Caenorhabditis elegans: one gene and its partners. The protein of the gene in region 2 purifies or fractionates together with the protein of the main gene of each other region. This does not show direct contact. Each region holds a gene or a part of one and is shown on either strand. Other genes may lie near its edges.

Region 1 (7,740 bases), on a different chromosome or scaffold from region 2:
TTTACGTCGTGGCCGCGAAATGCGAAAACTCGGCCACCTTCAAAGATCTTGGCCGAGCTCTCGCTTTTTCTAGGCCACGTTGCAAAAAAATCGATAATAAAACGTACCGGATTCGCGGCAATTCCATAAGCCAACCGCTCTCGGCGTTCCTTCTCCTCATCCTCGTGCTGCTGATCGTCTTGTTCTTCTCGCTTCCTAGCCGCCATCTGCTCAGCGATGAGCTCCTCAAAATATTTCTTCTGCTCCTGAAAAGAAGGTTTCGTATGTTGAAAGTTGTCCACGTGTAGTACGCAATTCGCTTTTCATTAAATATAACTTAAATCAATAAAAAGCTAGGCCACTGGCAAAATTTCACTTACCCTCGCCTTCTGATCCTCGAGGTAGAAATACAAAAAAATGTGGAAAATGACGAAGGCGATCAGGATGCCATATCCGATGTACTTCGGCGTGTCCTTGTGAACATTGATCGTGTATGCACATGACGGGCAGTGTGTGCCGTTTCCATTTTTGCAGGTTTGAGGGCTCGCCGAGCTCACAAGAGCAAGCTGCGTCGTATTGGCGGCAGGAGCGGTCACGTTTACATTTTTCGTCGGATTGCCGGCAGGAGCGGTCGCATTAGGACTTTTTGCCGAATTGCCGGCAGGAGCGGTCACGTTTGAAGTGTTCGTAGCGGCGGAAACAGGCACATTTGGTGTGGTGGTTGTTGGCTGAAAAATGGTGAAACATTATGGTCTAGAAAAATCGAAGGATGTCTAGGCAACTCACCAATACATGAACTATTAATCCGAAGATTACCAATGAAAACAAAATACGCAAAATACGCATTTTTGAGTGACGCGTGTGTCGGAGAGAAACCGATTTCACAAACTAATTTAAGTTATAATTTGTTTATTTCAATCGCTACGTGTGCCGTGTGCCACGTGGCCACGCGTGAGTAGGGGCGGGGCCTATTTCGCAACCACCGCACACTTTTTTCGCAAGCCTCGCACGTTTTTCCATGATATTGTTGCATTTTTCAAAAGAAAAAACGTGCGAGGCTTGCGAAAAAAGTGTGCGGTGGCTGCGAATAGGTCCCGCCCCTGCATCCTGTTTTGGGTTCCTTTTTGTTTGTTTTTTTTTCGCGGATGGTTAATTTTGTTTTCGAAGAATTTCTCGTAAAAAGTTCCTTTACAATTAGTCAAATTTTATTCACTCAATAAACAAGGTTTTTCTTCAAAAAATACAAGGTTTCGCGATGCGCCTATCATTTTATCATTTCTTGAGTAAAACAGTCTTTACGCTCGTTGCTCCAAAAAATGTATGTTTCTTAAGGGTTTCCATTAATTTTTTAGAAGTCATTTGAAAATGCTAAAAAGTTGGTTTACGTCATTTTAAGTATGTGCTTCTCTTAAGATAATGATGTAATATGGATTATATTCCAATTTAAATCATTCAAATTGATTTTTTTCATTTAAGAATTCCATTCAATTTCTACATTCTTCGTTGCGTCTTCTAACCTTTGCAAGCATTTTCCATTTTCGCTTGTTTTCGCAGTCCGTATGTTTCCGTTGCGGTGTTTGCGTATTGGTGAAAACAAATTTTCCCGGTCGTTTGAATGTAGTCGGACGAGCCCTTATTTTAAGCTACGCACTTCTAAAACCACTTATTTTAATTGATAATTTCTTTGTCTCACTTCTTTAAATGTTATTTATTAGCTGCGATGTGCAAAGGTTTATTTTTTTTCAGAATGGATAATGAAAATTCGTCCATTTTCAAATCATATCAAGGATACGAGTGTTGGAGGGGAGAAAAGCAAATTATTTTGAAGGATTCAATTGGTATTTCATATTTCTATCGATTCAACATTATTCTATTCATTCAGGTCGTCAACTTCCCTACATTGTGAATTTTAAAAAGAATACGTGTCAAATATTCGATATCGAATGGGAACGCGTAACTCACTCGTTCGTTTTCCCTGAAGGATGTGCTTTGATCGATGCGGACTATTTTCCAACAGAAGGTAAGTTTTTTATTACTATCATATTTTCTTTATTGATTTCAAAATATTTTATTTACAGAAGGAAAGCTCGGAATTCTTGTTGGTGTTGAAGATCCTCGTCAGTCGTGCGGTGCCGAGCACTTTGTTCTTGCATTGGCAGTTGATCCGGATTCACCAGCCATGACAATCACACACTCACTGGAAGTTCCATCGAAAATTACAGTTGTGAAGACGCTTTTTTCGTCTGCCGACATGGCTGATGAAACACAGAGAACAGTTTTAAAGCTCTATCATCGACTGATGACGTGGCAGCATATTGTGGCAATTGGTAATAAATCAAATTTGAATGAAAACTTTGCAAATTTACATTCCAGGTTGCAAGGAGACACAATGCTACTTAGCTCGTTTAGTTGCTGTTGAGACGCCGTCAAGTCCTGTCATCACAGTTCACAGTGAGAAAAAGTATTTGATCAACCTAATGAGTAAGTTTCCCGAAGATTAAACAAATTTGATTAGTGTGTTTCAGATGCTTACGTCAGCGGTTCAGTTCTTCAGTACACTTTGGACGATGGAGCATATCGTGAATACCCAACCGCCGCCGTGTATATCTCAGCGTTATCGTTGATGCCAAGAAGTCGAACTCTTCTTGTCGGTTTATCGATGGGAGGCATTCTGGCAGCTTCATTGAATCCTTCAAATCAGATGATGCTTTTGGAATTGAGACACGAACGACTTGTCAGAAAAATTGCTCCATTAGAACCAGAAGATGATCCCGACAAATTTGAGTATTTCATCGCCACTGTTGATTGTTCACCTCGTCATCCAATCATGATTCAACTTTGGCGTGGATCTTTCAAAACTCTCGAGGATGTTGATGGAGAAGAAAAGTACGACCGTCCATCATTCAGTGTTTGTCTAGAACATAAGATTTTGTTCGGAGAAAGATGGTTGGCTGTGAATCCTATTGTTACTGAAAGAGATCATATGATGCTCACAAGAAAGCGAGGAACGGAAGATTCGATGCACAATGTTTCTCAGACATTCGGATCAACTTCTAATCGAAACTCTGTTCTTTTGGCATACGAACGAAAGAAGATGGTGATCGGCACAGAAGACCCGAATGCTGAACCAGAATACATTGTGGAAGCAGCTATTTTTGATATAGATTCATGGTACTACAAAAGAGTTCCCGGTCGAGTATCTACAGATGGAACTGTTCTCAAGCAATGTGCATTCTTATCAACTATAAAGTCTAACATCCGATCAGAAGATGTAAATGACATCGGAATTCTTACAAATGAGGCCACTGATGTATCCAGCTTCTCTAGCATGGTTTCAGACGCAGATCAACTGTTTTATCCGTCAGCATTAAGCTTCGAAAGGGTTTTTGTTGCCAAGAATACCAGAATTGACTGGATGAAGATCCAGAACATCCAGGACACGGTAAATTTATCGGCATTGAGATTGTTTTTATTCCGGTTTTTTTTTCAGATTTTGAACAAATGCGCCGTCAAACTGCCTGCTCTCATCAGGAATCCCGAAATGATTTCCAGCGTTGTTATGGCAGCTGGTTTAGTGAGAAAAAATATTCTGTCTGGATCTCCCAATTCGGTGAGCTTATTTTTTAAAGTTAAATTGATGAAATTGTTTTCAGAGCGCCGCAGAAATAAACGAACTTCAATTATCGTCTGATCAAAAGGTTCTTCTCAACGTTATCGTCTACTACGGAAAAATTGAAGAGTTTTGTCAATTGGCATCTCGTCCTGACATTAGTGACACGCTAAAACGGGAATTAGCAGAATGGGCACTTCACGAAGCTGTTGACTACAAGAGAACTATTTCTGACAAGATGGTTTCACTCTTCCAGGGAAGATCACTTGCTCTCTCTCCACTAGCAGAAGAATCTATTGCACAGGGAATCAAGCTTTTCCGAGTTGTTTACGAATATCTGAAAGCCTGTTCAAAAGCGTTAAAAGATGATCGACTTCGCAATTTGGCCCATTCTGTGATATGTATGAGAAACCATACGAAACTTACCAGCCAATTCATCAATTTTGCCATCATTCCTGTAGACCCGATCAGACAGCAAAGAATGAAGGATTTACATTCAAAGAGAAAAAATATGGCGAGAAAGAACTCGTGAGTTTAGAAAAATCCTTTTTAAGAAAAAGTTATACGATTAAATTATTCAGATCATCTCTACCCGTTCAATCAGTCGTTCGAAAAATGAATCGTCAAGCTCCAAATGCTCAATTCTGGAACGATATTCCACATGACGAATGGTATCCGCCAACACCTCTCGATTTGCTGGAATGCCTGCTGAATGTTTCGATTTCTGAGAGTATTAAACGAGAACTCGTTGTCCAATATGTCATTGATTGGATTTCCACATCTCCTGAAGATTCTGAACACAGCGAAAAACAATTGGCACTTGAAACTATCAAAATCATGACAAATCAAATGCTTAACGTTAACTTGGAGAAAATTTATTACATTCTGGACCAAGGAAAGAAGGCTTTAACAAGCAGCAAGACATCGGATGATATGAGAGCACTTGGAGAGAAAGTATTCTCAATGAAAGATGACGAGATTAGTTATGAGAAATTGTGGGGAAAAGATGCTCCGATGACAGTGACAATCGGAAAACACGATTTACAGCGATTTGAACAACGAATGAAAATGCAAATGGAAGGTGGAAAAGTTAGATGTGAGATAGATTTTCAGTCTCATTTCCAATTAATTTTTTTTAATTTCCAGTGCCAGTTCTCGATCCGGAATCTGAGATTCTCTACCAAATGTTTCTCTTTGAAAACGAAAAGTTTGAAGCAATGTCATCAGAAGCGATTAGTTCCAACAAATTGCTATCGGCTTTCCTGCCAGGAATGATCAAGAAGGATGGAAGAGGTCGTCAGAAGACTGCGAAAGAACAGGAAATCGAAATTTCAGTTAAGAAAATGTTTGAGAGAAAGGTGCAAAACGACGACGAAGATATGCCTGAAGTTTTCGCTTCTGTCAATGACAAAACAGAAAGAAAGCGGAAATCAAGTCAGTTTGGTGAAGACGATGAGAGTAGTGTTTCGTCATCACAATATGTGCCACCTGTAAGATTATTGCAGTTAAATAGTACAAACCAAGATTCTGAAATTTACAGACCGCGAAGAGAATTCAACAGTGGAAGAGTGCCGTCGAATCTGTTGCCAACAATTCGAGTATCAACAGTATCACAAGTCCGGATTCTCACCAAAATGCAGAAATCAATATGATGATTGCAACACCGGCACGGTATTACAAGCGACATAATGAGGAGGAAAATGTTCAAGATGGATTTCTATCGCCCGCTGGAAACAGACCGCCGCCAGTCTCTGCTCACAACAGTATTCTGAAAACAGCTAAAGGTGGCCAATCGGCTAGTCGAGGCCGTATCCGATTCCGTGCTGACGTTCCAAGAGGTGCTGACGAGAGTATTGAAGACAATGGTCGGAAAGGCCTTGCATTGAACTTTGCAATTCTTGAAGATGAAGAAGAGGAAACCATGACTATTAGAAAATCACGGTCTATGGGAAAACATGACGAGGAGAAGGATTCAGAGAAAAATGTAGTGGATGAGATGGAAGAAGTAAAAGATCAAGAACAAGAAAACGATGAATGCATTGAAAGTGAGAAAACTTTCGAAAACCAAGACGATTTCGAGGTTCTCGAAGATACATCTGCTCCAGAAGCTGCAAATACAGAAAATGGTTCGGAAACTCCTCCCATGGAAGATACGTTTGAAGTACGAGATGATGACGTCATGCCACCAACCGATGAGACATATTTGAGTCATTTACAAACCGATAAAACGGGTATTCTTGAGGAGGAAGGTGAAGATGAAGATATATGGGATGGAGTTCAAAGATCTTTCGAGGTTCAAATGGATGAGGATTGTGAAGCTGTACCAACGATTGATGTAGCCGATGATTTGGAGAGTAAATCTGAAGAAGTGAATGAAGAAGAGGTAGTTGAATCTGAAGAAGTTCAGCAAGATGCGAAAGAACCTGAAAAAACTGAAAAACGACAGGAAGAGCCAGAACCTGAAGTTATGCAGCCAGTGATTCCGGAAGAGCCTCAAAACGAATCTCTCGAATCGTCTATTAAACTGCAGGAAGAGTTACAGGAAGAGCCTGACATAGTTCCGACAGGTGATGAAGATACCGCGGATAAAGTTCAAGAACAAGCTGTTGAGGAAGATAGACCACCATCTGTAAGATACCATAAAATAAAATTTGAGGAAAAACGGCAATAATTGTATATTTCAGAGAAACACTCGCTCATCATCTGTCCAGAAGTCTACTTCACAAGTGGAAGACCGGGATCCGAAAGAACTTGTCGAGGAAGAAAGACCTCCATCTGTCAGTTTCGTCATCAATTTGACAGACAGAAATAAAATTTATGTTTTCAGAGAAACACTCGTTCTGCGTCTGTTCAAAAATCATCTAACCAAGAGAAAACTTCGGAATCAGGAGAAGTCACGGAAGAAGATAGACCACCATCCGTGAGTTGTTTTTAAAATTTGAAATTTATATGTGTATTTTTCTAGAGAAATACGCGGTCGGCATCTGTTCAAAAATCTTCATCAAAGGTAAAAGACCAGAAGCCAGAGGAACTCATCGAGGAAGATAGACCTCCATCAGTAAGTCTCTCGTGATTTCTTTAAAAATTTAGTTCAATATTTCCAGAGAAATACTCGATCCGCATCAGCCCAGAAGACAGTGGCAGCAAATAAATCTGTTTTGGAGTCTGAAATTCCAAGTCGTTCAGCGTCACGAAGAACTCGCTCCACATCGCTTAGGAATGATACTGTTGCCGAACCAGATGAGACGTCGGTTGCGATGACAACTCGGCGTCGGACTCGGGCAACTTCTGAGGTTGTTAGCAAGCAGTCGTCTGAAGATGATGGAAGATCGACACCAAAAACCGGAAGAACTCCCACGAAAAAGGCTGCAGCTAGTACATCTTCTAGTAGAGCTGGAAGTGTAACTGTACGTTGTTTAATCGTTTAATCATACAACTATTCGAACATTTTCAGCGCGGTAAAAAATCGATCATCCAAAAGATGCCATCCCCGCTAGAGGTTACAATGGAAGTTCAAGAAGAAGAAGAAGAAGAAGCGGAGGAGGAACGGCCTGCATCAAGAAGCACTCGCTCTGCATCTGTCAAAAATACAACTGTTGACCCATCGTCATCTGCACTTGCTTCTACCAAACGTACAACTTCTAGAAAGAGGGGCAATTCGGAAACGATCGACTTTAATCAGGACGACAAATCGGCACCGACGACGCCAAAAAGAGGAAGACCCGCCAAAAAGGATGCAGGATCTCCTAAAGTTGGAAGTAAAGCTGTAAGCATTTTTAATTATTTTTTTGAATTAAAAATGTTGTATTCATAAATTGTAAATTGATTTGTTTTCGTTTCAGCGTGGCACCAAGCCTAAATCGATATTCGAAAATCAAGAAGATGAAGAAGATCGTTCATCCTCTCCAGATATCGAACAACCAGCCACACCTACACGGTCTTCCAAACGAACGGCTAGATCCAGAGCAAATTCCGAATCGATCGATGATGATAGCAAGCAGAAGACCCCAAAAAAGAAAAATGCCGCGGTTAATGAAGCTGGTACCAGTAAACAGTCTAGAAGTGTGACGGTATGATCCCAAAACATAATTTTTTTTCAAAATTATTATTTTCAGAGATCTCGAGCATCATCTATTGATGTACAACAAGAG
Region 2 (7,770 bases):
GATGTACATCTCGTACTCAAAAACGCACTAATTTATTCGAATGGGTCTCGCCTAGATAGAAAATGTTATGGTAGCACGTATTTGTTACTATTGTGATACAATTTTGAGCTTGTGTTTTTGAACATCAGTGCCTCAATTGGGGGAACATAACTTCGAGTCATCATACTGATAAATTCCTCTACCGACAAATATGATTAAGCCATTCGGAGATAAGAAGAATTAGAGACCCCCGGTAAAGAGGGAGATAAATTGAAGAATAAATGAAAATCGACCAAGGTCTCATTTCATCTCTTTTTTGTTTCCTACAACATCGTTAGTAATAGTCATCGTCTTTTTTTTATATTTAGCTATCTATCTACCTACTTAAAATCGATAACCTACTCATATTTACCAAGAGTTGGTGGAAAAAGTAAGTAATTTTATTGTTTACTTTTGAATTGAGGTGGGAGGAGGTTCTGTACTAATCTAGAGACACAGGACGTGCAGCCAATCATTTCAAATTTTGTTTTATTTTCACACCTTTATTGATTCCAACCTAGGAAATACCATAACGAGACAAGTGGTGGGTTTTAAATGGTGGGAGTGGTCACAACAACAATAGATATAATTAGATTTCCCATTAAAAATTAATTCTTGAAAAAAAAAATCGGAAAGAAAACATTCAAATGAAAACAAAGGGGAAGTAGCTCTAGCTAGAACTCAAAAGGCTCGGTGTTGAAAACTTGAAAGTTGTGTTTCGGAATTTGAGCAAAATTAAATGGAAATGTGTGGGGGGGCTGTCTAAAAAAGAAAACAAAATAACGGGTAATCTAAACATTTTTGAAATCAGTCACAGCGAAAAGTGTATTAACCCGATGGTAATTTTGAATAATTTGAATTATATTTTGAATATAACAGTTTTTAAAGACTTTTGAATGGGAAGAATCATTTGATAGGAGACATATGGGTATATATGGGAGGAGGGGTTAATAGATGTAGATAATTTTTAAATATAGAACGGGGGACAAATACTACCGGGGAAAAAGGGAATGAGGATAGAAAGATAACTAGGGTTTTATGTAGAGGACTGTTGTGGAGAGAAGGGGACACTCCAAAAAACGTTTCGAGGAAAAGAAAATAAATTTTGATAAACATGAGGCGAAATTTAAAATGGGAAAACGGATATGTTTTGTACAGTTCCTCTTCTCTACTTCACAACAAACATACAATTAATTAAGGGCAATAAGGAAAGAGGGAACAACAAAAATGGTATGATTGCAACAAAATATATTTCTAATAATCTAGATTAAATGACGAATGTCGATTAACAACTTTTCCATTACTTTCTCATGTTACGGCGTCGAGCCATTGCCATTTTTCGGGCGCCGACACCACTCGGAGCTCTGCAAATAATAACAATTAATACTTATGTACTTTTGAATTAATTGGTTAAAGTTGGAAGAGAAACTTACTGATAAGAAAAGGCGTTTTCCATTCCACCAGGTGCTGGAGCTTGTGGAACTGACATGTTACCACCAAACTGGAACGCTCCACCTCCTGGAGCAGCAGTCGGAGCTGGAGCTGAGGTGGCAGCATTTCCAAACTGGAAAACTCCTCCGCCTCCTGCAGTGGCGCCGGTTGTGCTGCTAGATGCACCAAAGTTGAAGCCATTATTGGACGTGCCACCGAACGGGCTGAAAATAATAATTGTTTTCTAGTAACCAAAAAATGTTGAAGCTTACTTAGAGGAATCAGCAGGTGCTTGACCGAACAACGAGTTCGTAGATGAGCTAGAAGACAATCCTGGTTGTGATGGCTTGTTTCCAAATGCACCAAACACTCCAGAGGTTGATGTTGTCCCGGCGTTTCCGAATGGGGTCGCTGTAGAGCTAGGAAAACCTGAAGTGCTTGAAGAGTTTGATGTCGAAAATGCGGGAATGCTTGAGGATGAAGGCCCTCCGAACATTGGTGGATTTGTAGAAGCACCGCCAAAGAGTGATCCACTTGTGGTTGAGGCAGTAGAGGCAGGGTTTCCAAAACCAGTAAACTTTGGCATCTCAACTTTTTGCTGGCCGCCGAACTGAAGCTTCTGTGAGTCGGATGAGAACAATCCACGCTTTGCTGGTGCCCCGTCAGTAGTGGTTGTTCCTGAATCGTCTCCAAATGAAATCGGCTTTCCGAAAATCGAAGAAGTTGTCGAATCAGCAGGCTTTGTTGTAAACAGATTAGTTGCTGTGGACGAGGATCCTGCACCGAAAAGGCTGGTTGATGCTGATGCCGAGTTGCTTCCGAAGACATTAGTTTTTACAGCTTCTGCGGTAGCTGTGGACACTGGTGCTGCAGCAGTCGTTGGATTTCCGAACGAAAGCGTAGAAGAAATCTTTGGAAGTTCCGTTTTGGAATTGCCGAACATTGATGATCCACCGAATGATCCAGTAGATGAGTTTCCAAACAATGACATGGTTGGAGCAATTGTTGGAATAGCGGATTTTGATTGAGTCGAATCTGTAGATGATGGAAGAGCAACAGAGACAGGAGTTGTTGTGACATGTGTTTCCTTATCTAAGATCGATCCGAATAGGCCTGGCTTCGCAGTCTCTGTCGTGTTGGTTTTGTTTAAATTGAAGATAGATCCAGTTGAACCACCAAACAATGATGATCCCGCCGTTGGCGCCAAAGAACTTGTAGACGATGCAGCACCTGGAGCCAAGAAACTTGTGGTAGCTGAATCGGCAGGTTTGGCGATATTTCCGAAAAGAGATCCAGCTGTTTTGGGAACTTCTGGTGCAGATGGTTTCTCGACTGGGGCTGATGAAACAGCTGGTTTCGCCGAAAGCCCAAAGGCTGGAGTAGAAGTTGGCGCAACTTCTGTTGTCTTTGACAGTCCAAATGCAAATGCGCTTGGTTGGGTGGTTGCTGTACTTCCACCAACTCCGAATGAAATAGTAGACCCTGTGGAAGAAAGTGGTTTGAAGGCCCGATTACCAAAAACATTCGAAGATGCTTCAGCAGATGCATATTTGACATGTGAGCAACATGGGCATTTATCATCACTGGCCTTATTGCTAACCATACAATCAGGGCACTCCCAATCAACACGTGTACCATTGGAGGATGAAGTTACAGCAGCAACAGGAGCAGATGCGATAGTAGTAGGGGCTACTGGAATTGTGGCAGGAACAGTTGTTGGTGGTGGAGCAGTTGTCTTGGGGGCTCCAAAAAGTGGTGCCACTGAAGAACCGCTTCCGAATGGAATTGTGTTTGAAGTTGTCGATGCAATAGTTGTTGTCGTTGAAGCACCTGATCCAAATCCGAACTTGACAGTACTTGGTGTATTCGATGCGAAACTACTGAGATTTGATACAAGCTGCTTTTCGGAAGGTTTTGGTTGACTTTTTGGACCAGTACCAGATCCTCCTGGACGTGCTTCCCCACATGCCCCACATTCCGATAGCTGAAAACAAATTATTTGTCAATTTCTTAGTTTCTTTTCCGATGAATTTTTATACTTGACAATTTTCTGAAAATGTGAGACTATGCTCTAAAGACACATGATGTACTTTTCAGCGAGACTCGTGACGACTTCAATTATTTTAGTTGAAAAAATGGAACATTTCGCGCACGCTTTCCTAAACCCACGAAAACTGTAGACTAAATTTTGTTATTAATTTTAAGTAAAACATAGTAGACCCAGTTTAGAGTTTTCTCGTATCAACATCAAAATTTCTTACCGTAGAATCCCAACTACAGAAACACGATTGACATTCCCATTTTTTAGAACCAGCATCGACCACTGGAGCTGGAGCAACCACAACTGGTTCTGCATCTTTGGCAACTTTTGGAGACGAATCCTTTGAACTCTGATTGGATCCTCCGGCAGATGAGATAGTGTCAGCGGAAGTTTGTGGTCGCGACTCTTTCACTTCACTACCATTCTCCTCACCGACGTCTACTTCTGAGTCTTCTGATTCTTCGGAATCTGATTCGTTTCCACTGCTTTCAGATGTTTGCTTTTCTGTCGATTCTGCATTGCTCTCACTGCTGGACTCGGATGCTTTATGTGAGCTTGCCGTACTTGCGGTTTTTGCAGTTCCAACAGCAGTAACTAAATCAACTGGAGCTGTGAATGAGAACGCGAGATCGTCCAAAAACCCGCGCTTGGGTGCATATTCTGGCGCCAATTTCAGAGGTTGTGGATTCTGCAGAGTTGTTGTTGGAATTGGTGGAAGTTTCTGTGAATCCTCATCAACTTCTTCAATGTCATCAGAGAGTTTGAACGTATTTCTACTAACTGGTTTCCCATCAGGTCCCTTCATAATTGAGGCATGTTGTTTTCGACTATTTGACGAGTTTATGGTGGTCGTGGATGCAGTTGATGCTGTCTTCTTTGGAGCTGGTAAGTCCAGTGAAAACAAGGAGCTCAGCTGAAATTTAAAAAAGTTAAGATAAAGTCGAATAATTTAATTATCATAATTTTAAGTTTGTTATAATTTCTGAAAATTTCCCAATGAAACGTTTAAAAATAAATACTAGACTGTGATAATCTCGTGTCTAATTTTAGAAAATTTGACCAGAAAAACTTTTTCATAATTCTTGTATCATTTTTTTTCAAGTGTTTAAAATCCAGGTTACCTCTGCAGTCGCAAAGTTTCCGTTCAATGATTTCATTGAATCAGAAGATCCAGTGTCTCCATTTTTCGACGATGTTCTTTTCCTAGTTAAATCCGTCCAATAAGGAGCACGTCGAGCGGACATTCCCATAGTCTTTGATATGAGCTGTATACGAGATGGAATTGCGTCTCCAGCTTTTTTCAATGGAGGTGGTGGTGTGCCAGTTGCTGAACCATTTGGAACCTTGCTCTCGCTAAACGATCCCCATTTTTCTGGTCGAGCAATGCCAGCTCGAAGCATTGACATTCTCTGAACTTCTTTCGCGGGTGTATTTGCACCTTCAAGCTTTTTGAAAATTTCTTGAGTTCTTGTACTTAATGACCCGTTGGTAGTTGCTCCACTTCGTCGGCTCAAAAGTGAGAAATTTGTGATAGATGAAGCAGGAGAATGATTAGCAGTTAACTCTCCACACCAAGTCATATCCATTTTCCTCTCATTATTCATTGAACTATTAAGAGTTGGTTCCAGTAATGATCTGTTCAGGAATCGACTTCGTTTCACACTCTCACTTCGAAACGATTGTGGTAGAATCTGCTTGTCGAGCTCTGTCAGTTGACGTTTGCGATTCTGGAAAAAAATATTTCGATAGCATTTATCAACAGGTTTAATCTAATTTTTCTGTGAAAACACATTAATAAAAAGACAACTTTAAAAATTTACCGTGGAAACCGCAGGAGTGCTGAAGAAAATATCTGGAACAGCGTCCACATCGATCTCTAAGCCATTGGATGCACTCGTACGCCGATCCAATGCAGTCGGACTGAGGTATCGAAGACGTGATCCGATGCGATGGTTTTGTGAGGTATTCACTGAAGTTTCATCTGGAATTTAAAAAATAATGAGTTGAAATTCTAGTGCCATGTACTGATATGAAAGTCAATGTGATTAAACTTACCTGAAGCTATTTTAGCTTCATTATCTACGGATAATATATTTTTCAATGCTGGAGACGCAGAAGGAGACGATTTTGAAGACGAATTGGATGTACCTTCATCATTCGACTTATCGCCGTCTTTGCTTTTAGTGGCACTAGCTCCAACAGAAAAGAAGCGGCCAACCGATGAGAAAAACCCTCCGGATTTATCGGACATTTCTGAAATAGAAAAAAGTTGTTTCGTAATTGAGACTAAAGCTGAGAGAGACTGAAGAAATTTTTCTGCGCCGTGTCAGAAATTCTCGATAAAATAAAATTCTTCAAAAACGACACTTTTCGAAATACTTTTGAAACGCCTAAATGAACTACTGGAAGTACCAAAAGAACATGACAAATGCACCTAATATGTTTTGGTAAAAATTCCGAATTATTGATCGATAACACAGGTCAAAACTACAGAAATCATTCAAAATCGTAAATGTTTAAATTTAGGCCGCGCCAGTAAACGCAGCATTAAGCATTAAACTTGATATATTTTTAAGGCAAAAAACCTTTTACCAACATTGAATTTTCGAAGGAAAGAAGTGTAAATTACATTAAAAATCAATAAAGGAATTTAAAATCGCAAATGGCGCGAAGACGATTAAAAAGAAATTTTCGAGTGCGCACACGCGACGCATACGCGACGCTTTCAACGACATTTGAGAGGTTAGAGTGCAGACAGTTATCCTTCCATTAACAACATGAAGAGGGTGCAGAGAAACGAGAGAGTGTCCATTCCACAAGGCCACACCCCTTCAGCTGGACACTTCTGGAGCTCTTTTGACGACGTTCGACCCTGTTTTTGACTCTTTTTCCGTTAAATATATTTATTTTCTATTCAAAATTATTTTTAACGACCTCTTTTCCATCTTTTTTTCTGTGTTCAAAAAATGTGTTCAAAAAATCCAAAGGTAAATAAAAACATTATTTATTTCAGACCCTCTGCATCACCAATAGAATGCGATAATTCGACAGAAGTTATTTAATTCATTCAGTAGAAATGATTTTGCGACATTTCGGTGAGTTCCATCTTTTTATCTTATCAATTTTAATAATTTCTCCGTGGAAAAGTTTTAAATATTGTTGTTATCACTTTTGTGTTGATACAAATAAAATTAAAATCCTATAATTTCGTAGTAAACGAAGTATCTAAACCCGAACCTCTGAAAGAAAACAAAAGGAAATTAAATAAAACTTCATTACTATTTATAATTTTCAGGTTTCATTCTTATAATTCTGACAGTTTATCTGTCATCTACTCATGCCACAACACGGAAACATCATCGTCGATCGATTGATAATGGTGAGAGTTTTTCACATTTGAATTCAAAAATATATTAAAATGGGGGAAGGAAGATGACCATCTGGCATTCTGTCAAGGTGTCAGTCACCGGCAACATAATTTATCGATTCAAGAATGGAATTTTGAAAATAGAAAAATATAAATAAAAATCATCTTAAAGTCAATACTTGGCACTGAACTACCTTGTGGCTATTTTTAAAAAAAATTGACTCCATAAAAATAATACAAATCCAAGAAAAGTTACGTTTTTTTTAATACTCTTACCTATAAAACACTTAGTTTATCGTCGAATTAATGGTTTTACTTTGAAAAAACCTTCTTTCAAAATTATTCTCAATTTTCGAGTTCCGATCTAGCAGAGTTGTTCAGCAATCTTTTAGTTCCTTCACACCTTAAAGATGGAGCAGCGATTTTTTTGTCCCCAGAAGAGAGACATCTTGAACGTTTTCTAAATTATGGCGGTTTAGGGAAAAATTAAAATTTTAGTTAATTTTGACTCCGCTTTTGAGAAGCCTCATTCCGTCACTCGGGGCCTTATTTCACTACCCCACGGTGGGTACCACCTTTAAAGAAAACTTGACGCCAAATTGTAGCATTTTTCACTACAAACCAAAAGTGGATAGCTCAATTCCCCAGATTCTCTAGGCGTTTGATGTTCGAAAGATTGTAATCTCTACACAAAATCCACCAGATTCGTTCATTTCATTATTGTGTGTGTGGGTCCCAATGGTTCCACATGAAGTCTTCTCTCTCTCTTTTCTTCTTACTCTTGGAATGAATTGTGACACAAACACACACACACAAAACGAAATGCCATCATCTTCTTTAGCTTCCACCACACAAATCTTTCTCTTCCATCCCCTTTCGATTTCAATTGATGGATGAGGCAATATGAGGGACA
Region 3 (4,323 bases), on a different chromosome or scaffold from region 2:
AGCTTTCAATTCTATTAGCGCTGCACACGTTTCCATTTTTAGAACTCATTAAAAATCTCAAAAGCATTGAGAAGAGATAGAGAAAAAAGAAAACATCATCATCATCATCAACACATCCTGTAGAGTGCTTTTAAAAGGAAAGAAGAGAGGAAGAAAAATGTGAAAAAGAAGCGTCGAGAGCAACTTGTTGAGTGAGTGAGGGGGGCACAGAAGGATCACATCCAATTAGGATTGAATGAATGCTGTCGTACACACAAGAAAGTGGAATGGAACGATGAGTAGAATAAAAAAAGAAAAATGATGGAAAGGGATGCACTTGGGACACATTGCCGAAAAAAAAACGAATCGTTGCTATAATGTTCTTCCGCTAGTCTTCATAGATCCCGTTGCCAGGTGACCTCGTCTCCAAAAACTTTCTTAAATTTCGAAATCGGAGAATGTGTACTCCACGAGAAGAAGAGTGTGCGAAAATTGCAAATTTTGCAACCTCCGCACGGTTATGAGAATGAGAGCTCAATGAACCTTGCGGAGGTTGCAAAATCTGCAAGTTCCGCACGGTTATGTGGGTGTGGCCAATACCATCGTTTTCTATTCTCAATTTCTGTTATTACGTGGTAGTCTAAAGATGAAAGTTTTCGGGTCTCACCACGCTGAAATTGGGTTACTGTAACTGGACCAATATTGTGCCATTTTTAATATTATATTCAAATTCTTGACAGCAATTTTCGATTAAATCTGAAAATTATGATACTATGCTACCCGTAAATGGAGACGAGTTACAGTAACTCGGCGTGGCGAGACCTAAGATTTTACGAAATTTTCCCAATTTTGACGTCTACGTAATAATTCCCTCTATCCCAAAATTTGTTTTGTAACAGTACGGAAATTGTAATTTCCGTACGGTTTTATGGGAATCACAGTTTGAAAGTTTCAGTTCAAAAATCAAAATCTCATCTTCTAAGAGGCGGGGCGAAAACACCAAATTTGACGCGCAAGTTTGACTACATCATCAGGTCGCCACTTCTGCTCCAGTCAGAACCAACCACATTTTCTGAAAATAAATTACATCCGGTTCGGTCCGAAAACTAATATTAAATACAATTTTCATTCAATTCATCATCTTTTGGTTTTTTTTCTTTCTCATTTTGACCAACCCGCAAATATTATACGACACAGGGGGCTATATAGTCGTGCGCGACGAAACATTTTTCTTTCCCAAAAAAGGAATGAATTCTCATTTTATTTGATGAAGAGGCGGGAAGAAGCTCTCCGAACGTTGTGCTCTGTGTGGTCAACAAAAAAAGGTCGACGACACAGAAAAGGAATTTAATTAAATGGGGGACCCCGTCGTCGTGCATTTCTCAATTTTCTCCGTTTTTTTTTGCAATTAAAACGAGGAGGAGTGAGAAGAAACGAGTGGTGCTCGTTGAAATTTGAAAACGAAAATTAGACGAGGGAGTAGGTCAAAGGGAAATAAAAACAAAAACATCTGAAATGTGTAATTAAATTTCTAGAATTTTTTAGAATTCAATATTTTATGGATAGGTATGTACTATAGGGGTCGGCGGTATTATACAGTAACCCATACACGAATTTCACTTTTTTCAGTGTCTAGTGTTGAAGAAAAAAAATCAAAGTTCAAACAGAAAATCGACTTCATCAAAATTACAAAACATCCGATCAGAGAAAAAAAATTTTCTCTTTATTTCCCGCAGAAAACCTCCCAGCAAACTTTCACCACAAAAACCCTATTTTAAACTCCCTCCATTTTCAAGTCCGCAATTGCGCGTAGCTTTGCGTGTTTTGTCGTTGCGGACTTTGATTTTTCAAACAAAAATGTTTTTTCTTGGAACTTTTCGAACCTGTTTTCCACTTTAAAAAAGCGGTATTTTTCAATTCTTTCTTTATTTTAAATTTGAAAAACTTGTTTATTGCTTAAATTTTTAATTAAAAAGCATTTTATTTCGAAATTCAGGCCATGTTCTCGCATCTTAACCAAAATACATCCGGAAGGCATAACTCAATGGATCTCAACAATTCTAGTATTTCAAAGTGAGTAATTTGTTTCTTATTTTGCAAAAAAAAAACCAGTTTTTAATACTAAAAATCTAATTTTAGCTTCGGGACACCAGTTGAACAGTCTACGCCGGCACTTCTTTTCGGAAAGCGAAAGGCAACTGTTCCATCTTCGTGTAAGTAAAGTTTATCTTAAGTTTTCTCAAAAATATGATAATTATTTAGACACCGCTAGCCCGCTCAACACTGCATCGGCACCATGTTCGGATATTTTCGCTGTTTCTGCACCGGCAGTGCCGCAGCATTTGAAGGATACACCGGGCTCTAAATCAGTTCATTGGTCTCCATCTTTGGTGCAATCTGGTGAAAAGTCGGCGGCACAAACACAGAATACACCTGCCAACTTGTCTTTCGGAGGAAATTCATCATTTTCGGCGCCGACAAAGCCAGCTCCTCAGTCGATTCAGACATCATCTTTCGGTGGTCAAGCGATGCATGGTTAGAATTTACATTTTTTCGCGAATATTTAAAATAAAATTGATTTTCAGCACCACCTCTTCGATCTCTTCGCGACAAAGTTGAACCAGCGAAAAAGATCTCCAGACGAAATACATTCACTGCCAGATCAACACCACTTTCCACTCCAATCACTCAACGAGTCACATCCAGGTTGGCTGAAGCAGAAGAACAACCAATGGAAGAAGAAGCCGACGCAGCTGATACCTGGGTCACTGTTTTTGGATTTCAGCCAAGCCAAGTGTCGATTTTGTTGAATTTATTCTCGCGGCACGGGGAAGTAGTTAGTCATCAGACTCCATCAAAAGGAAACTTCATACATATGCGCTATTCGTGTGTCACACACGCTCAACAAGCTATTTCTCGAAACGGAACTCTCCTCGATCAGGATACATTTATTGGAGTCGTTCAGTGCACAAATAAGGTAAGTAAAAAGGATATATTTATTTTTTATTTTAATTTTAAAATTTACAGGACGTGATCAACGGCTCAGCATCCGGAATTGTTGCTCGATCATCTAACATTGCTGCAGCTGCAAACCGATCTGCTTCCATGTATAACTCATTTGTGGAGAACGATATGGCCGATCAATCAGTTAATCACAATGAGAACAGTGTGCTCAACTCGTCGAATGTTTTTGATGCAAATAACTCGCTCAAGTATGATTAGAAATTTTTAGTAAAAAATTCATAAAAATCTAAATTTTATACTTGAATCTGCTAAAGCGAAGTTTGTAGTTTGTAGTCTAGCGCTACTCCACTTTGAAAATGTGAAAAAGAAAAAGTTAATTTTTCACAATTCAATTAATATTTCCACAAAAAATTGTTTATGTTTTCAGTTCTTCTCGTATTTCCGTCCGTTCTGGTGTCGGAATGAGACCATTGGCTGCCGATCAAAGAACAAACGTAAGCATTTCATTGATTCAATCCTTCTAACCAATTAAAAAAGATTTTACAGGGAACCCCATCGGTTCGCAAGGCACCTGACGGATTGCTCAACAAGTTCTGGAACACGATCGGACTCAACTAATCTTTTTGCTCATTGGAAATATCGCCCATTTTTCTGTTTTATTTCACCATTTTTTTCTTTTGTTGTGTATCCTTCTTTTTCGAATTTCTGAAAACAGTTTCGTTTCTCACGGTTTTTCGTTCTCAAAATAATTTTATTTATTTCGGTGTATTCTCAATTTTCGGACATTTTTCCTTCCCTTCTTCCCGTCCATTCCATTCCCATTCAAAACTGATTCTATGAATTGAAATGAAGAAAACTCATATTTTTATATTGTCGATTATAGAAGACGAGTTGCTAATACTCGAAAAAAATATTTTTTCAAAAAATGAGGCTTTATTGACTGAAAAACATCGATTAAACAAATTCACTTCTATGAGTTTAAAGAAGGGCGCATTATTGCAGAATGGTCTCGGCACGAATGACATTGAAAATTGTGTGTGGGTGTGTGCCTTTAAAAATACTGTAGAGATTCTTTTATCGATTTTTCTCATTTTCTTCAATTTTTAATTTCAGAAAATTATTTACAATCGATGAAGTTTTTTTTAAATTTAATTTTTTTTATAAAATTTAATTTTAAAAAACCCGTTAAAAAAAAATTATTCAAATAATTCTTTCAGTTCCCAATGAATCTTCCCCCAGACGCCCTCCACGAAAATGTGTACGCATTTGCTCTTGCACGAGATCAAGTCGAATCATATTGTAATCAATGCCTTACGAGTATGGCAGAACTCAAAAAGTGCAGCGCCTGCCGACGGCTTGCTTATTGCTCACAAGAATGTC
Region 4 (7,625 bases), 760 kb from region 2:
TGCAAAAAGTGATTTTCTCGCTTGAAAAATCGTTTTCTAGATAATTTCTGGCAAGTAAAATGTGAAATTTTGGATAAATATCGGAAAAAAGTAAAAGGAAATTTTGAATTTTGAGCCAGCTTTAGGTCAATGTTTCCCCATTCTTACCATTGAATCATCCAAATCGGAAGCATGCCGGAACGTCTTCGCAATTGGCGAAAAATGCGAATTTATGAGATCACTGCTTTCAAGACTGCTATTTTCACCAGTTCCCCATCCACTTCGCGATGAGCCACCTGTCAGATCTTGATCCGATTGCTGTTTGATGGATTTTCTGAGGAGCCGCTCACGGAGCTGCTGCTTTGCGCGGGGCTCATCGGATTCCTGTAGCTTCTTGGTGATCGGGGTCACTGGTTTTTCGAAGCTGTTGTCAATGAAGCTTCTCGAACGATAGTGATCGTCTGTGGAGCATTTAGAGCTCCCGTAGGTGGTGGAGGAACCGGTTCTGGAGATGCTCTGCTTGGAGTTTGGAGTTGATGTGTACACGGTTGAAGCCATGGAATTCAGAGAGGCATCAATAATTGTCCTGGGCGGCTCGGAGCTATCAGTTGATCTCATTGAAGCTGTTTCATCGACTTCAGATGAGGAGCTGTGTCTTTCCTGAAATTCAATAATTTTAAAGCAAAATTCAAATGTTAAACTCGAACAAACCTTGCGATCCTCGTCTTCCGACGAGTCTGAGGAATCAATAATGACGTGATTCTTACGAAACGATGCCATCCTGCAATAATTGTCGTGAAATAAAACAGTTCTGGCTTGAAAATATTGGAAAAAAGAACGTGTTAGGAAAATCTTAACGTAAAATACAAAATTGTGCCTTTAAAAGTGTTTTTCTGAAAACCCCACAAAAATTCAAGGAAAACTGCAAAAACATTTCTTCGCGCAAAAATGGAAGTGCAGTGGAGCGCGCTTGCAATAATTCGAGACAACACGGGTTTTCGTAAACCGGGTCTTGGAGACATAGAAACTCGAGAAGAAACGTCTCATTGTGCACTTTCTGAGCACGTTTTATTGAAAATATCATAAAGTAACTTAAAATAAATAACTGTCAAATAATTTCTGCTGATGAAAACACGTGTTGTCGCAATATGTGTCGAAATGAAAATATCAGGAAAAAACCATAACAAAGAGATCTACGAGCAAATTTGTTAGGTAAAATTTTTTTTGAGGTAATATGAATATATCTTTGATCGAGAAGGAAAAAAGCGCATTTTATTTCACGGTATTAATTTCATGTTTTTTCATGTTTTTTCCCCAATTACGCTTTTTCTTCAGATTCCGAATCTAGAATTATGAACTACGGTCACCAAATTGGTTCATTGTCGTGAAGAACCGCGCCGTGTTTGCGTACAACGAAATAATTTTGAATTTTTTCGCAGAATTTCAGTTTCTTTTTTCTTCAATCCGATCTGAGTTATCGCTAAATTTATTTTTTATTCTACTATTTATTTAATGCATGATCACTATAGTTAATTAACTTTAACTTTTATATTAAATACATAAATTTCTCTCATCTCCACCTGTTTTCCTTTTCCATAAGAGAAATTTTCATTAATTTTTTTGTAGGTAGGAGAGCCGAATAGATCAATGATTATACTTCGATCACTGCTCGTTTTGGCTTTAGTGCAAATCACAATATCATACCGGCTAAATGTTCCTCGAGTTTTATTACCGTACCATCCAACGGTCCCAGTTTCATTTGTGCTGGAAGTAACGCATCCAACCGGAGGTTGTTTTACATGGTAACTCAATGAAATGATCTAATTATTTTTTAATATATTTAATTGCAGGAGATCTACTCGTCCCGATATTGTCTCTGTTAAACGTATCGAAACTAACGAAGCTGGATGTTCGGATAAAGCTGAAATTCGATCGGTTGCGAAGCCTGGAACTGTTGGAAGTTCGGAATTGTCTGCTGTTATTTTTGCAGAAGATAAAGGTATAATTTTTGTGAAATGTTGGTTTTAAAATTTTTATTAAGGATCCGGCACAACATTGAGTTGCGGCGTGACAGTAGATGAGATCGCAACTATTAGCATCGAAACAACAACGAAAGTTCTATTCGTGGACGCTGCCCCTGCTCGAATGACTGTTGACGCATTTAACGCCGATGGCGATCGATTCTCTACTCTCAGTGAAATTGCATTGGAATGGGAGCTTGCATCAACATCTTCAAATAAAGCGAAACCACTACGAATTGTTCCATTCGAGCAATCAACATATGAAGCTCCTTCTGAAATTGTTAAACTGGAAAAGAATCGAAAGAAAGGATATCTAATTCTGATTGAAGGTGTTGGAACAGGAACAGCCACATTGACAACCAAGTTCAGTGATGCTTATTTGCAGGTGAGCAATCTGCAAAACTACATTTACCTAGGATGTTTTTTTTTTCAGAAAGTAGCAGCGCACAACGTCGAACTCGCCGTCGTCGCAAATTTACTTTTGGTTCCATCTCAAGATGTTTACTTGCCAGTTCACTCAGTTCTTCCATTCCAAGTTTTAATTGTCAAGCAGCGTGGAACAGAAATAGTGAACATGCCTAATCCGTCATACGAACTTCAAATTGATGGTGGTGATGTGGCGTCGCTCGATAAAAAAAGTTCATCTGTGAGAGCTCTGACGATTGGAAACACTGCAGTACATCTCTTGAGCAGCCGTGAGTTGCATAAATGGATGTTTCTCGTTCAAAAAGAATTTTTCAGATGTCGATGTGCGCGCTAAAGCTGGATTACGTCCACCATCTACTGTCATTCATGTGGTAGACGCCGAATCTGTCCAATGGCATGTTTCAGGAGATAATTGGATGCTAGAAACCGGAAAACAGTATACAATCAACGTTGAACTTCTTGATGAGCACGGAAATGTTATGTTTGTTGCTGATGTAAGTTAAGCTCTGAAAAATTGAACAAAAAACAGCTGTCAATTTTTAAATTTTACAACTTTTCAGAATTCCCGTTTCGACACTCATATCGATGAGCAATTTCTTCATGTGGATTTCAAGTCTGAGAATGGTACCTGGTTCCTTGTGACTCCACTGAAACCCTCAAAAACTACTCTTCGAACCAAATTTGTTGCTATTATTGATGCCAAGGGAAATCGAATTGCACAAAGTGGCAAAATTGGCGGAGAGCAGCGAGTAACTATCGTTGATCCTGTGAGAATTGTTCCACCGGTTATCTATTTGCCATTCGTATCTGAGAAAAGATCACAAATTGATCTAACAGCAACTGGAGGCAGTGGATTGTTTGAGTGGACTTCTGAAGATGGACACGTGGCAACGGTGGATCTGCTAACTGGAAGAATGACTGCGAATTCATTAGGAAGCACTAAAGTGAAAGCAACTGATAAGAGAAATGATCAGCTTCGTGACATTGCCAGTGTTCATATTCTCGAAGTGTCTGGAATCGGATTTGGAGAAACTGTCCGTGAGACATTCGTCGGAGATACTCTTACATTAAATATCAAGGCAACCGGACTCACATCTGATGGACTTTTAGTTGAAATGTCCGATTGTCGAAATATCCGTGCTCATGTTCAAATTACGGATAATGCGTTGCTTCGGCACGAGTCTTCAGCTGATTCGTCGCTTCCAATGATGGGCACTGGTTGTGGAACAATAACTTTCAAAGGACTGTCATCAGGAGATGCCCGAGTGTCCATCAGTTATTTGGGCCACAAAGCGAGCATCGATGTAGCAGTCTACGAGAAATTGTCTATTTCCGAAGAATCTTCATCAATTGCACTCGGAAGTACTCACCCATTGACTGTGTCTGGTGGACCAAGACCGTGGATTTTGGATCCAGCAAACTTTTACAAAACACAAGAAACAAAGCAATCGCAACTTCAAGTCACATTTGAAAACGAAAAAGTTTTGTTCAAGTGTGGATCTTCAGAAGTAACAGAAGCTGTTCGTCTTCGTATTGGAAACCTCAAATCGTCAACGCTTCCACTTCCAATTCACTCTGAAATTACAGTTTCGATTTGTTGCGCAAAGCCAACTCGTCTTGAAATTTTTGACAAGAAACAACGTCCATCCAAGTGCCCATTGAATGTTCATTCAATGCTTATCAATACAAATGTAGAACTCGTTCTCCGTGGATCAGGAGTTTGTAATGGAGCTGCAACTCCGTTGGCCTCAATCAACGGGCTTTCACCGAAATGGACTACTTCTGATTCTGGTCTTTTGACGGTTAATCGTCATGGAATTGAGGCAGATGCGACTTCTGGAAAGGTGAGTTGATTCTGAAAACTAAGTTTTTTTTCACATAAATATATTTATAGAAAGAAGGCCAAGTTACTATTCAAGCTCAAGCTGGATCTCTCTCCACTAAATATGAAATCACAGTGAAAAAAGGATTGAACGTCGAACCAGCACGTCTCGTTCTTTGGAATGAAGCTGTCTCAAAAGGAACGTTCACTATAACTGGTGGATCTGGCCATTTCCATGTCGATAATCTGCCAACATCAGATTCACCAGTTGCAATTGCTCTCCGTGCAAGAAGTCTCACAGTTACGCCGAAGAATAATGGACAAGTGAATCTTCGTATTTCTGATGCTTGTTTGGTTGGGCAACATGCCGATGCTTCCGTAAGAATTGCTGATATTCATTCATTGGCGATTGACGCACCGCAGTTTGTGGAAATTGGACAAGAAGTTGAAGTAGAGATTCTGGCTCAAGACGAAACTGGAGCTTCATTCGAAAAAGAACATCGTCCACTTGCTGACGCTCAACTCGATGCAAGTAACAATCATGTAATTTTGACCAAAGTTGACGGACTTCGCTACACTCTTCGTGCCAACTCAATTGGAACTGTATCGCTGTCCGCATCATCAAAATCTTCATCAGGACGTGTACTCTCATCTAGACCACACACCGTTCAGATTTTCTCTCCTATTTTCTTGCAACCAAAAAGATTGACTTTGATTCCGGACTCCAAATTTCAGTTAGAAGTCGTTGGAGGTCCTCAACCGACGCCACCACTCGATTTTTCCTTGAATAATTCAATGATTGCATCCATTGAGCCTAATGCACTTATTACGTCGTCAGAACTTGGATATACAGCAATTACCGGAACTGTTCGTGTTGGTGATGGTCATGTTACCTTGGATACTGTTGTTCTTCGTGTTGCCTCTCTCGGTGGAATTATTCTGTCAGCGTCAAGCAGGAAAGTGGAAACTGGTGGAAGAGTAAACTTACGATTAAGAGGTATGTGACACTTTTCTTTCAAAAAAATTAATTATTTTTTATTCTTCAGGAGTGATCGCCGGAGCTGAAGACGAAGAACCATTTGCTTTTGGTGGAGCCATTTACCCGTTCAAAGTAACATGGAGCGTTTCTGATCCATCTGTTCTATTCACAACTCATCCCCTCGGTGGAGATGTAGTCGAACCAACTGATAATCAATTTGCCATTTGGTTCAATGCTATTCGAGGAGGATCGGTTACAGTGAAAGCGGTTGTTGAGCTTAATGAGAAGGCAAGAAAGCATTTCACTGGAAGAACCTCTACTTTCACCGCTGAAACAACAATTACAGTGGAAGATGGACTTTCATTAGTTCAACCAGAAATGGATATTAATACTGTCAGAGTGGCGCCAAATTCTCAATTGAAGATGGTCACTGCATGGTAAGTGAATATTTTTGCAGATTGTTCTCCTTTTAAACAACTCTAATTTCATTAATTCAACTTTATTATTTACAGGTCTCAAGCATCTTTCTCAGTTCCTTCTGATTTCTCGAGCCGGATCGTCATTTCTGCGGACGGTCATTTGATAACAAACGGAAAAGAAGGATCAGCTGCAATTACCGTTCGTAATGTGAACAGCCCGGATAATGAAACTGTTCTCATTCCTGTGACTGTAAGAAACGCTATATTTTTGTAGATTCACTTTTCCCTTTTTTCAGGTTTCTCGTGTCGCTTCTCTCGATGTTCACCCAACAATTGAACTTAAAAGTGCTTTTGAGAATTCTCCACTCATACATCTTCCTGTTGGAGCCCAAATCCAGCTAAACGTTGTTCCACGTGATGCTCGAGGTCGTCGTCTTGCGGCTGCCTCCAACAGTATCAATTTCAGACCACATAGGTAAGGAAAATTCCGATCTTTGAAAATTGTTTTTTTAAGATCCAAGATATTCACGGTATTCTTATAGATTCGACTTGACCGATATTGTCGCCACCAACAGCAATCAGACACTGACAATCACACTGAAAACCGCTGGAGATACTGTTCTCAGAATTGGTGATGCTTCAAATACCCACATTGCTACATTTATTCGTCTTTCTGCGTCTGAATCAATCCTTCCTCGAGCTGCTCACAAGTATGCAAACGATCTTGTTGTATCTGATGTGATTTGTCTTCAATCAAACATTTTCACTGTAGACGGATCTCGCTGGTCGTCTCAAAGTTCAAGTGAAGGAAGAATCAGTTGGCTCGATGAGAATCTCGGAGTTGCACAACTCACAAAGGCTGGAAATACTTTTATCAGACTTCATGCTGATAAACAAACAATTCATTCGAAGATCTCCGTTGTATTGCCATCTTCTCTTCGTTTCCCTGATGGTCAGAAACCAGAGTTTGTGAGCAATGATGAGCATTCGGTATTCGTAATTCCTGTCATTGCTGCAACCAATAATACTTCAGGAAGCAAAGTTTCGTCAATTTATGGAGGTGAGATTTGCTGTTGTTTCACATTTCATCCTCATCTTTGTTGTTTCAGAGTGCACTGCTGATCAAATTCGATCATTTGATGCGATTGGTGCTCCATTTGAATGTCAAGTTGCTTTCACTCGTCGTTCGAAGATCATTTCGGCTGTCAATTGGCTGACGGTTTCAGCAGTTTTCAGCCCAGTTTTTGGTTATGGGTGTGAAATTCGTCGATTTGATTCGAGTGTCTCAACTTCATCAATTGTTGTTCCCGAGGAACTATTGAAAGATCAATTTGATGCTAGAATTACTGCGAAATGGATTTCAGATGGTACAGTACAAGTAAATGATGCTACAATTGATGTTCCATTCCATTTCGCATTTATTGTCGAGGAGAAGGAGGTCAGTTACACGAAGTTTTTTTTTAATATTTTACTTTTTCCAGCTCGTATTCTCAAATATGAATCAAATCGAAGCAGCTCTCTCCATCTGGGCGCCTACATACGACTCGAAGCACATAGTCGTTTCTGGATGTGAAGGAGATATTGTATCGGTCGAGAAAACCTCAAGATCAAGTGATAAACATTCTGCAAAGGCAAATGTGTTCTATAACATCCGTCTCAACATCAAATCAGCAGCTCTGTTCACTGAACATGCAAAGAAATGCCAAATTTCTGTTGAGAACACGTTGACTGGTCAAGTGATTCGTGTTCCTGTCACTGTTCAGTTGTTGGATGAGACTGCTAAACAAGTATACAACGGTAAGTTTCAACTACAGGATTCAATAAAATTCCTAATCGTTTCAGCACTTGAAAGTCGTGGGGTAGTAGATGTTCTTCTGATTCTTGCACATAAGTACTCTCACGCTATTCCAACGTTGCTGTGGACTTGTCTTGTCGGAATCATCATTCTAGTTATCGGAATTTATGTTAAGATGAATGTA

Evidence for each region.
Region 1: the proteins of npp-7 (region 2) and mel-28 fractionate together in Caenorhabditis elegans (co-fractionation; one large-scale study listed by BioGRID). This does not show direct contact.
Region 3: the proteins of npp-7 (region 2) and npp-19 fractionate together in Caenorhabditis elegans (co-fractionation; one large-scale study listed by BioGRID). This does not show direct contact.
Region 4: the proteins of npp-7 (region 2) and npp-12 fractionate together in Caenorhabditis elegans (co-fractionation; one large-scale study listed by BioGRID). This does not show direct contact.

What each region holds. Positions count from the first base shown.
Region 1 is NC_003281.10:4,784,355-4,792,094, forward strand, and holds the start of mel-28 (Protein mel-28), read left to right. Parts: upstream 1-1,725; 5' UTR 1,726-1,726; coding exon 1,727-1,817; intron 1,818-1,861; coding exon 1,862-1,999; intron 2,000-2,057; coding exon 2,058-2,306; intron 2,307-2,352; coding exon 2,353-2,460; intron 2,461-2,504; coding exon 2,505-3,421; intron 3,422-3,469; coding exon 3,470-3,589; intron 3,590-3,632; coding exon 3,633-4,117; intron 4,118-4,170; coding exon 4,171-4,685; intron 4,686-4,735; coding exon 4,736-5,079; intron 5,080-5,129; coding exon 5,130-6,218; intron 6,219-6,273; coding exon 6,274-6,366; intron 6,367-6,416; coding exon 6,417-6,509; intron 6,510-6,554; coding exon 6,555-6,647; intron 6,648-6,693; coding exon 6,694-6,996; intron 6,997-7,043; coding exon 7,044-7,355; intron 7,356-7,431; coding exon 7,432-7,659; intron 7,660-7,704; coding exon 7,705-7,740. Other genes in the region: enu-3.2 (ENhancer of Uncoordination), read right to left, coding at 108-245, 360-707, 766-825. UniProt on the Caenorhabditis elegans protein: Nuclear envelope protein which has essential roles in assembly of nuclear pore complexes and in chromatin maintenance during the cell cycle. Appears to be a stable structural component of the nuclear envelope during interphase.
Region 2 is NC_003279.8:5,690,237-5,698,006, reverse strand, and holds npp-7 (RanBP2-type domain-containing protein), read right to left. Parts: upstream 5,744-7,770; 5' UTR 5,742-5,743; coding exon 5,546-5,741; intron 5,472-5,545; coding exon 5,311-5,471; intron 5,218-5,310; coding exon 4,612-5,217; intron 4,404-4,611; coding exon 3,711-4,403; intron 3,434-3,710; coding exon 1,722-3,433; intron 1,674-1,721; coding exon 1,452-1,673; intron 1,383-1,451; coding exon 1,319-1,382; 3' UTR 501-1,318; downstream 1-500. Other genes in the region: Netrin receptor unc-40, read left to right, coding at 6,567-6,585, 6,786-6,869.
Region 3 is NC_003280.10:10,796,132-10,800,454, reverse strand, and holds npp-19 (Nucleoporin NUP35), read left to right. Parts: upstream 1-1,975; 5' UTR 1,976-1,978; coding exon 1,979-2,052; intron 2,053-2,118; coding exon 2,119-2,192; intron 2,193-2,241; coding exon 2,242-2,514; intron 2,515-2,564; coding exon 2,565-2,956; intron 2,957-3,006; coding exon 3,007-3,191; intron 3,192-3,370; coding exon 3,371-3,437; intron 3,438-3,480; coding exon 3,481-3,561; 3' UTR 3,562-3,802; downstream 3,803-4,323. Other genes in the region: set-14 (SET domain-containing protein 14), read left to right, coding at 4,167-4,323.
Region 4 is NC_003279.8:6,445,706-6,453,330, forward strand, and holds the start of npp-12 (BIG2 domain-containing protein), read left to right. Parts: upstream 1-1,598; 5' UTR 1,599-1,626; coding exon 1,627-1,781; intron 1,782-1,829; coding exon 1,830-1,978; intron 1,979-2,020; coding exon 2,021-2,385; intron 2,386-2,433; coding exon 2,434-2,695; intron 2,696-2,741; coding exon 2,742-2,920; intron 2,921-2,986; coding exon 2,987-4,270; intron 4,271-4,320; coding exon 4,321-5,245; intron 5,246-5,294; coding exon 5,295-5,664; intron 5,665-5,739; coding exon 5,740-5,896; intron 5,897-5,942; coding exon 5,943-6,121; intron 6,122-6,188; coding exon 6,189-6,706; intron 6,707-6,755; coding exon 6,756-7,084; intron 7,085-7,127; coding exon 7,128-7,443; intron 7,444-7,488; coding exon 7,489-7,625. Other genes in the region: T23H2.3 (Transcription termination factor 2), read right to left, coding at 148-639, 691-759.